2 linked regions of the Drosophila melanogaster genome follow. The protein of the gene in region 2 interacts with the protein of the main gene of each other region in a pairwise test. Each region holds a gene or a part of one and is shown on either strand. Other genes may lie near its edges.

Region 1 (5,937 bases), on a different chromosome or scaffold from region 2:
CTTGGGATGCAGCTCGGAGAGCTCCTTGTCGGTCTTGCACGGTTTTAGCTGCTTGTAGTATTTTGGAGCACGGACAACGGGCGGTTTGCATTCCGGCTTTTTGGCATTCTCGGACTCAAACTTCTTGCACTCCCGCTTATCTTTTTTGTTCTTCGCGCACTTATCACTGACGCCATCCGTATGAGAATGTCTTCGATCCCGGGGGGGCAAACCTACACCCTTGGGTGGGCTCTGCTCGCACTTCCTGGATTTCTTATTGGCGCACCTATCGTCCGAGTGGGCAAAGCGTCGGTCGACCTGTGACAGAGCCAGAAATTGTGACTTCACTAGTCCCTTCACCTCATTAAGAAGCTGCGGGCGAAGTATTGATGAACTTTTGGCCAGAAACATAACTAAACGGAGGTTTTGGATTGGAACCGGTGCTGTGGCAGGTTGAGAGACACGAAATTTTGGTCTGTACAGGCGAACGCTCTGCTTTGATCTGGCTAACACCAAGGTGCTGAACCAATAGTTGGCAAGAAATCTAGTCCAAGGCCGCCATGATGGGATCTATTTTATTTACATTTCAACAGCTACTTCTCTATGGATTCCAGATTTAAGTGTGTAATTCCTCGAATACTGTCGCGAATTGAGCCTTTTCCGGGCCACGGACCAAATGGGTTTTCCTTGTTTGTTCTGCAGTTAATTGCGAATGGATTCGATGCCAGCGAATTTGCAATGTCCAGCTGCCTTGATTTGCAGGCAAATAACAATAAAGAAAAAATAGGCAACGCAACCTTCACTTTACGAATTTTTGCCCCAGCTTGTTTGCAAGTTAAATGCAAACAGAGTGCAGCCAGCCAAACGACAAAGCCCAACAAAAAAAAAAAAAAATAAAACAGAACGAAAAATATACATACAAAGCTGACCCCCTGCGAAAAAAAAAACAACAGAAGTCCACTAGAATAAGTATACGCCGCGTTGGTCGCCGCTCGCTGCTTGCTGTTCTCGGGGCAGTTTTCGCTTTTACGCCGCTATTTTCATTGGAGTCACTGCCGTCCGAGAGTGGCCATGCATGAGGGCTCCCATAAAATTGGGTCAATTGCTGTTAACAATTTGGCAGCGCAATCTTTTGGCCGTTTCGATTTCAAGGCGCTCAGGGGAAAAAAAATCGAAAAATAGGAAAACACAACGTGGGCCATAAAAAACGAGCACGTACGAGCGAACCTTTTGGAAAAAAACAATTTCCGCATAGAGTTGTTGGCCAGGAAAAATAGCCGCTGCAATCGGTGCTCCCCCGCGGGAGAACAGGAAAAATCCAGGGGGGGGGGAAGGTGTAGATGAAGCTGAAGTGGCTGGTCGAAAAGTTTGCTGGCCTTTACGCTAATTAATTAGTGCACTTTGTTTGTAATTCATTTTGCAAAAGCAGGGCTGGCTTAGTTAAAGTTTCCAGGGGCGAGGTTTGTTTCATAAAGCATGGACCGACTGCCTCCAATTCAAGAGCCCGGGCATCACTTTCCATTTAATCAACTGGGGAAACAGTCGACCCCAATACTTCAGCTCTTGTTGCCTTTGAGTGACTGCCAATGAAGTTACTGCCCCTAAAGCTGAGATGCACTTTAGCCGCTCCACTCCAATCGCTCCGCTCTCCGTGCAAAACTCAGACGACTAAGGAATGATTTCATTTACTTACAATCAATGAAATTGCACTGATGCAATTTTGTTTCGGCCCCAAAATAAACAGGCAAGCGGGTGGAACGGAGCTGGGATCGGGTTGTGGCAATAGGGATTCGCCAGGCAAAAGAAGATGGCGATGGCGAGGCGATGGCTAAAAAGTAACAGTTGCAGTGGGGCAATTGCGGAGGAGGAGCAACTGGGGGTCACCAACAAGCAACTACCAACCAACTCCGTTTGTCACGCTCGCCTGGCAGCCATGACAGCATTTGGTAGCCAGGAGCAGCTAATGTCTGGCGACAGTTCCCGAATCCCACGAATCCCCATGAATTCCCGTTCCTGTTGCTGGGGCTTCTCATCTTGCAGCCAGACACGTAGCCAGCCACTGTGCATTGGGTTCGGGTCGAGACGCAGAGAGATTTGTGAAAGATGTCAGGAACACTCTGCGACAGAGTCGAAAAATGAGCAGGAATCGTAGGCGAAGGTGACTGAGTCTGTTCGCCCAGCAAAGCACTCAACTCGACCAAATCCCTCTGTTTTTCAGCTTCCCCAGCAGCCAATATGAAGATAAGACCGCCGCTGCACAGCCAAGTGGAAGTAGCTTGAGATCCCAATCTCTGTCCAGGCTGGACATCTCGGTTCAAAACTCATCCATCTATTACAATGATACGCGAAACACGCGACCACAAATGGTCAGTGTGGCCGTCGGCACAGTTTCAACGGATATCCTGAATGGGCGCACATCATTCTTGTCCCTTAGTCAGTCTCACGGGAGTGAAGTGGATTTGCCTTCGTTCTACGAAAGCTTTAATCCAACTTTTCTTCCCAAGCTGCCTATCAGAAGATTTCCCCATATGCTTGTGGGGGCATCAAATGAGCCTGAGATTTCGAAAAACCAGCCAGCAATTCCACCATCTAGGCCAATTGAGCCAATATCTGAGGTGCCGTTTGTGGAACCGGCCTTTGAGAAAAAATACTCTAGGACCCGTGGATTTAGCAAGGAATTGTCCACACACAGGGATAATGAGAATGAATATATCGAGAGCACAGATGAGGTGTCTCAGATGTTGAGCTTTACTAGCTATACGGATGAATATGATAGGGCAGAACCACTCATTACCAAAACGCAAAAGTTTTATAAAAAGAGTAAGTTATCATAGCGCTGCCTTCCTTTTTACAAAAATGTTTTTTTTTTTATTTTTATTTTATTGTCATGCAATTGAATTTTGTCTAAGCTATTTTTGGCCATTTGCTTGAAATTGAGGAACCTACCAAATGCATTTCTTGTAGCTAAAACTGTAGCCTTCTTACAGGATCCCCCTTGATTCCCAAATACGATTCCGAGGATTCATATGTGGTCCCTAAGGAAACCGATCAACAGGAATCGGGTCTCTCGTTCAATGTAACTACAGTACAGTTGGCCGATACCGCATCGCCGGAATCTTTCAGCGAATACGACGGAAATCGAACGCGCAAGCAATCGTTCGACATGGAAAGTAAAAATTCGAAGGAGTCCTTTGACTTTAGCCGTGGTGGAAGACGACTTGGCTCCGGTATGGTTTTTGTAAGTGAGTGAATAGCATTCTTGTGGTGGTGAATTGAGAAACGAATGACGACTCTTGTCATCCACAGATCTATATGGTGATACCACCGGACGGCGGATTCGGTTGGGTAATCATGGTGCTGTCCTTCCTCGCCCAGCTGATAATCGATGGTTTAATTTTTACCATTGGGGTCTTATTGCCATCCATTGCCCAGGATCTGGATGTCTCCATATCGTCGGTATCGTTTGTGGCCAGTGTCCAGATTGGTTGCTACTTCACTAGCGGAGCGTTTTCTGCTGTCCTGATAAATCGTTTTGGTTTCCGAAAGGTAGCCATCGCTGGGGTCCTGTGTTCCGCAGTTTCAATACTGGCGTCCAGTTGGAGCGTCAGCTTGACCATGCTGATCTTCTTTTACAGCGTCCTTGGTAGGTTGATTCTAGATTGCTGTACGATATTCGATGAATAATAGTACTAGCCTGCGCAGGTGGTATTACGTTGAGCATGATCTGGGCAAGTTCGCAGCTGATTGTTGGCTACTACTTTGAGCGGTACCGTCCGATGGCCAATGGATTTTCCTGCAGCGGTGGCGGTGCGGGCATAGTACTCTTCACGTTCCTCAACAGCTGGCTGGTGCCAATCATCGGATGGAGGAACATGCTGCGGACGCAGGCGGGGCTGATAATGTTGATCCTGTTGATGGTGGTCGCCTATGTGGAGGTGGCTCCCACCCAGGTGGGCATGTACCATTTACCCGGTTCTTCGGATACCAGTTCGGATGAGTATTACGGCAACTTCTACGTGCATGACTATTTACGTCAATCCGCGATGACTGCTAAAAGCCGGAGTATCCTAAGTACATATGAGCCACGCCCAAAAAAGAAAGGATGCGCCAAGTTCTGCCCCTCCTGTTCGAACTGTTGTTGGAGGCGGCGGAAGAAGTCGCAAAATGCTGATGAGCAGAATCTGCTCATCCGCCCGGCGCCCCTGGAGCGGGAGGATCTCTTCTATACGGGTCCTGCCGAATACGAAAAGCCGCACAGCAAGGAGAACGTCGACGGCAAGGAGTTCCTACTAATGGGATCGGATAAGAACGTAAGTGTTGTATTAAGAATAAATTCGCTTCAACTTAAGAACACCACCAACTTTCACTTAGACCCAGCAAGTGAACTATGGCATCAAGAACATTCGTGTGGATGATGAACCCGATAGGATTTCTAGAGTTCATAGGGAACGAAGATGGTCAAACGAGAATCAGAAAAAGCAAAATTCCTGTAGGAATAGCCGGTTTATGCTCACTGTGCTCAAACTATTCGACTACCGCCTGCTGAAACAGTTTGAGTTCAAGATTCTGGTGGCGTCCGCCTTTCTGTTCCCGATGGGCTTTAATATACCCTTTGTTTACTCGTCTGCACGAACCACGATCCCCGTCGAATATGCCCGTATGATCGGCCCCATTATCGGAATTAGTAATCTTGTGATGAGAAACATCCTTGGCATCCTCGCTTACAAAAGGCGTAGTTGGACCCTCGGACTTTGTGGTTGTGGTCTAATTTTCGGTGGTGTTTCCGTTTTGATTAGCGCCTTCTATGGAGAGAACTTGATTTGGTTCCAGTTTCTGTATGGCTTCTCCTATGCTGTAGCGCCTGGTGCGTACATTTACTTACCTTACTTAAGTTTACAATATTACCCTCTCTCATTTCCATGGAATAGCTGTTTATTCCACACTGAGAGGTTTGATATACGTGAAATACCTGGGACTTTCAAAACTGACCAACGCTTTTGGGATTACCTCATTGGCCATGGGAATGGGCGCCTTTATTGGGACTACAATTGCTGGTAAATTGATAGGCATCACGGGAAACTATTCTGCTGCCTTTTGCTTTGCGGGATTATGTCTCATAGTGTCCGGATTTCTGAAGCTTCTGCTGCCCTTGCTTATTAAATGTCGCAACAGGATGGCCCAATGAGGAATTGGACTATTGGAATTGCAATATTTATTGGTTCTCCTGCTTGGAACTTGGGATTGTCTTACAACTAATAGCTTAGGCATTTTTATGACTTTTTTTTACTGGTCCTCGTTCCAAATTCTGAGTAAATGTTTGTATATCCATGTAATTGTTAATTGACCGATGTCATTAACTATTACTTCCTCCTTATTACAGATTTATTTTCAATATAATTTCAATTCAAGTGAGTTCTTTTTGGGGTTGACTTTTATTGCAATCCATTTTAAGTTATTAGTTAGCTTAGTTTACATCTAATATTAGCTTAGTTGCTGAACAACACACTTTGGCTCCACGCTTATAGGTTCAAGTGTGCTGTGTTTGGTTTTTCATTTGGTTTTGTTTCCATTTTTCCTTGTTTGGGTATGCAAATTTTCACGCTTCTTGTTTACTTTGATTTGCTTTCTAAACTTTGTACGTCTACTGTTCAATGTTTTGTTTTTTTTTTCTTCATTTTTTATATTTTATGATGATTTTTTTACATATTATTTAGAGCTAAAGCAACGAAAAAAAAAATATAAATCAATGTGAACACATAAACATAAGAATGTTTGAATCGACATCCGCAGGACGAATGACTCCAATCCTCTGTGTCCTGTGTCTAAATCTTTCTTGTGTTTTTTAATATTGTCAGTAGTCTTCCCCATCGTCGCCTCTAATTTAATCCATTTTTAATTGAAGTCTCTGCCGTCTGCGTTAAAAACAATGTCATTTGATAATGTAAAGTTAAATTAAAA
Region 2 (3,002 bases):
TACTGGCCGCCTGAAAGGGAAAGCCCATCACATTATAATTGTTGTATCATATGAAATATACAATGAGCTCAACAAGTGTTGTAATTATGGATATGTTCTCTTATCGATAGGAACAACGGGAAGTGTCATACTTACAACGGCCATGGCGAAAGCTCCGTAAAATATTTCATTTCATTTGATAGGTCCATTTCGTAAGTGTTTAAAAATTCCACTTAAATGTTTCAGTTGTTCGTTGGAACCCCTCTTTTTACTATAATATAATAAAAAAAAGACACTCAGAGAAAAATCCGTTTTCAACCATCTCGATTTGACAATTTCGACCCCAAAATCTAGCTAAGATTGAATAATGCTCACCATACTCAGATTGCAAATGACTTTGCTCTCATTTGCCTTCCTCTCTCAGTTTTTCAACCTTTCCCTTCCGTCTGAAAATATCAACATTCAGATCGTTTTCGTCTCGAAATCGAAGGTTAATTCTCAATTTTTCTGGGTGTACTTTTTTCTAGTCTCTTAATTAATTCAGCAACTTAAACTTTGCCCGATAGTGCGATCAAAACGAACCTTGTTTTTTTCTTTATGTGATGTAAAATGAGGTAAGTTATAAAGAATCGTCCAAAAAGTTATTTATCGAAAATCATTTATTGAATATTTTGTAGAGCATAGAGGTCAAATTTATTCCTTGCACTTTTGTTCGCAGAGCTCCTGGGTTCCAAATCGGTTCTCATTGCCGCCGCATCCGCCGTAGATGAACTTTTCACACGAATTGGTTTCGGGATGATAACTGAAGCTGGGTATAAAAGCGGCACACTTGATGAGACCATTGCCATCAATACCAGCGGGCAGTCCACAGATAGCTAATAGATTGAGAATGTGAATTAGAATGGTTTCGATTTCCTGAGCAGCTCCCAACTTACGATCCTTGAGGCCGAGGGCCACAGCCACCAGGGCGAACATCAAACAGACGGCAGCAATGAATTTCATACTGATTGCGATTTTGAAAACTATGTATATCTCCCAGCTTCCGTGGAACGACTAATGGAAATCGGAGGTGTAGCACTAGGTTATATACGCCATGCCGATCGGCAGATGGGAACTACATATTGGCTGGGGATCTTATCTATATGCTCATGAACTTTCGGTTCATTAACGAGTGCTCGTGAATTTGGTATATAAACAGACGAGACTTCGAGTACTATGTGCTAGTGCTAGTGTTTGTACTGAAAATAATGCCGGAATAGCAAATAAATCTAGGAACTACGTTCTGAATAAAGTAAACACGATTAGGCAGCGATTTGTCATTCGGAAGTGGGTTTGTCCGATTTTTTCCCAAATTTCATTTATTTCCTCTTTTGCTTGTATAATATATTTATACATTTCGTTTTCAGAATCTTTGCGATATAAGTGCATTATAAAAGTAGTCATATTTTATCAAAATTACTGTTTACACTGTTTAGTTCCCAAGATTAATTAAAATCGTCTATTCATGACTCAAGTTTTTGTGAGTCCGTCGGGTTTCGAAATTAATGACTTTCCGAGATGTACTGCTAACCACTTCTGACACTTACAAATGTATCTACATACTGTACTGCTAGTACCAGATGTGCGAATAAAACGAAATAGATATATAAATCACAATGGTATATTTATTAAAATTTATAATCAAATTATTCAAATAATCAACTCAGTAAAGAAATGCTTTTAAAAGGCTGATGAAGTTGGATGACAAATAAATTACAAACTAAGAACTACAATTTTTTAAGACGAGGTGCTAGTTTCTGTGGCCACTTCGCTGTTTTGTTCGGTTGTTGAGTCCGTGGAGGAAACCGCAGACTTTACCAAACATGCCTGTTCGCACTGCTCCTTGGATTCGAAGTTGTTCTTGTTGCCGGCACATCCACCGTAAACGAACTCCTCGCAGGATTGTGTATCCACGTTGTAGGCGTAGCGATAGAACAGAGCGAAACAGCGACCGGTTTCCTTGGGCTGATGACAGTCCTCCGGAACAGTGAGCTCACTGGCATCAGGCAGGGGTTTGGCCACCGCGGGCTCCTCCGCCTTCTCCACGACGACATCCGAGGGAGCTGCACGAATTCCGGCTGCCAGGAGCAGAACAGCCGCGAATACTATGAAACTGAAGCTATATCTAAAGCACATTTCGAGTCCGTTGAGTGGATGATGAGCGAATGATTTCGGCTCGCTCGGATATTGCGGCTTAAATACTATCCGTCCGAACTGATTAACTCACGTACTACTATACTCACTCAACTGGGTTTTTGCCCACCGTTTTGCCTCTTTTTGTGTACTTCATTTATCGGAGCGCCAGCTTGTTTGTCCAACTGATTCGTCGCCGCATGTAAATCACGGCGGTGCCTCTCTGACGTCTATATCCACGTCCATATCGATATCACCTGGCACTGACAGCTCTCGGAGAAGCTTTCGCGGCCCAACCTTCAATTGCAGATCAACGCACCAACGCAAGTCAATCATAATGCTGGCCATAAAATCATATTCCAAGTGGCTTCCGTATCGGTGTGACAATTTTAGTCAGCCAAATCACGTTTAGCGAGCGGAATGGGAATCTAACTGAATTACCTATAAACTGGTTAACTGTCGGTTGAAGTTTTTTGTGTATCTAACGAATGGGGTAAGCTTTGGAGCTTCAGAAGAAATGAATAAACTGTCTGGTTAAGAAATGTTCCTAATAATCGCTCGTTTGCGATTCTAATCATTAGGTAATTTTCAAAATTGCGCATATAGGTGGAAAATAATGCACTTAATTTCTTAATTCCAATTATAGATAAACATTTGATATACTGCTTACTTGTAATTAGTTAATTATTAAACGTATATATTTCGCATTAGCAAAAACCCATTTCAAGTAATTATTTTAAAAATACATCAACAAATAATTTCATCTAGCATTTACAATTTAAAAACAATCTCGTATTTTGTGACCGCCATCAATGGATCACTTTTTGGGAATACAAGCCTCCTCACAAGTT

The links.
Region 1: the proteins of IM33 (region 2) and Targ interact in a two-hybrid assay, tested with the Drosophila melanogaster proteins (one large-scale study listed by BioGRID).

The regions. Positions count from the first base shown.
Region 1 is NT_033778.4:14,666,302-14,672,238, forward strand, and holds Targ (tarag), read left to right. Parts: upstream 1-2,089; 5' UTR 2,090-2,114; coding exon 2,115-2,137; intron 2,138-2,146; exon of another isoform or gene 2,147-2,197; coding exon 2,198-2,799; intron 2,800-2,966; coding exon 2,967-3,217; coding exon of another isoform or gene 3,218-3,221; intron 3,222-3,285; coding exon 3,286-3,622; intron 3,623-3,672; coding exon 3,673-4,289; intron 4,290-4,350; coding exon 4,351-4,843; intron 4,844-4,907; coding exon 4,908-5,164; 3' UTR 5,165-5,374; downstream 5,375-5,937. Other genes in the region: CG12860 (uncharacterized protein), read right to left, coding at 1-390.
Region 2 is NT_033779.5:3,695,618-3,698,619, forward strand, and holds IM33 (immune induced molecule 33), read right to left. Parts: upstream 1,042-3,002; 5' UTR 982-1,041; coding exon 915-981; intron 855-914; coding exon 673-854; 3' UTR 601-672; downstream 1-600. Other genes in the region: CG3604 (uncharacterized protein), read right to left, coding at 1,756-2,154; CG10031 (uncharacterized protein), read right to left, coding at 2,969-3,002.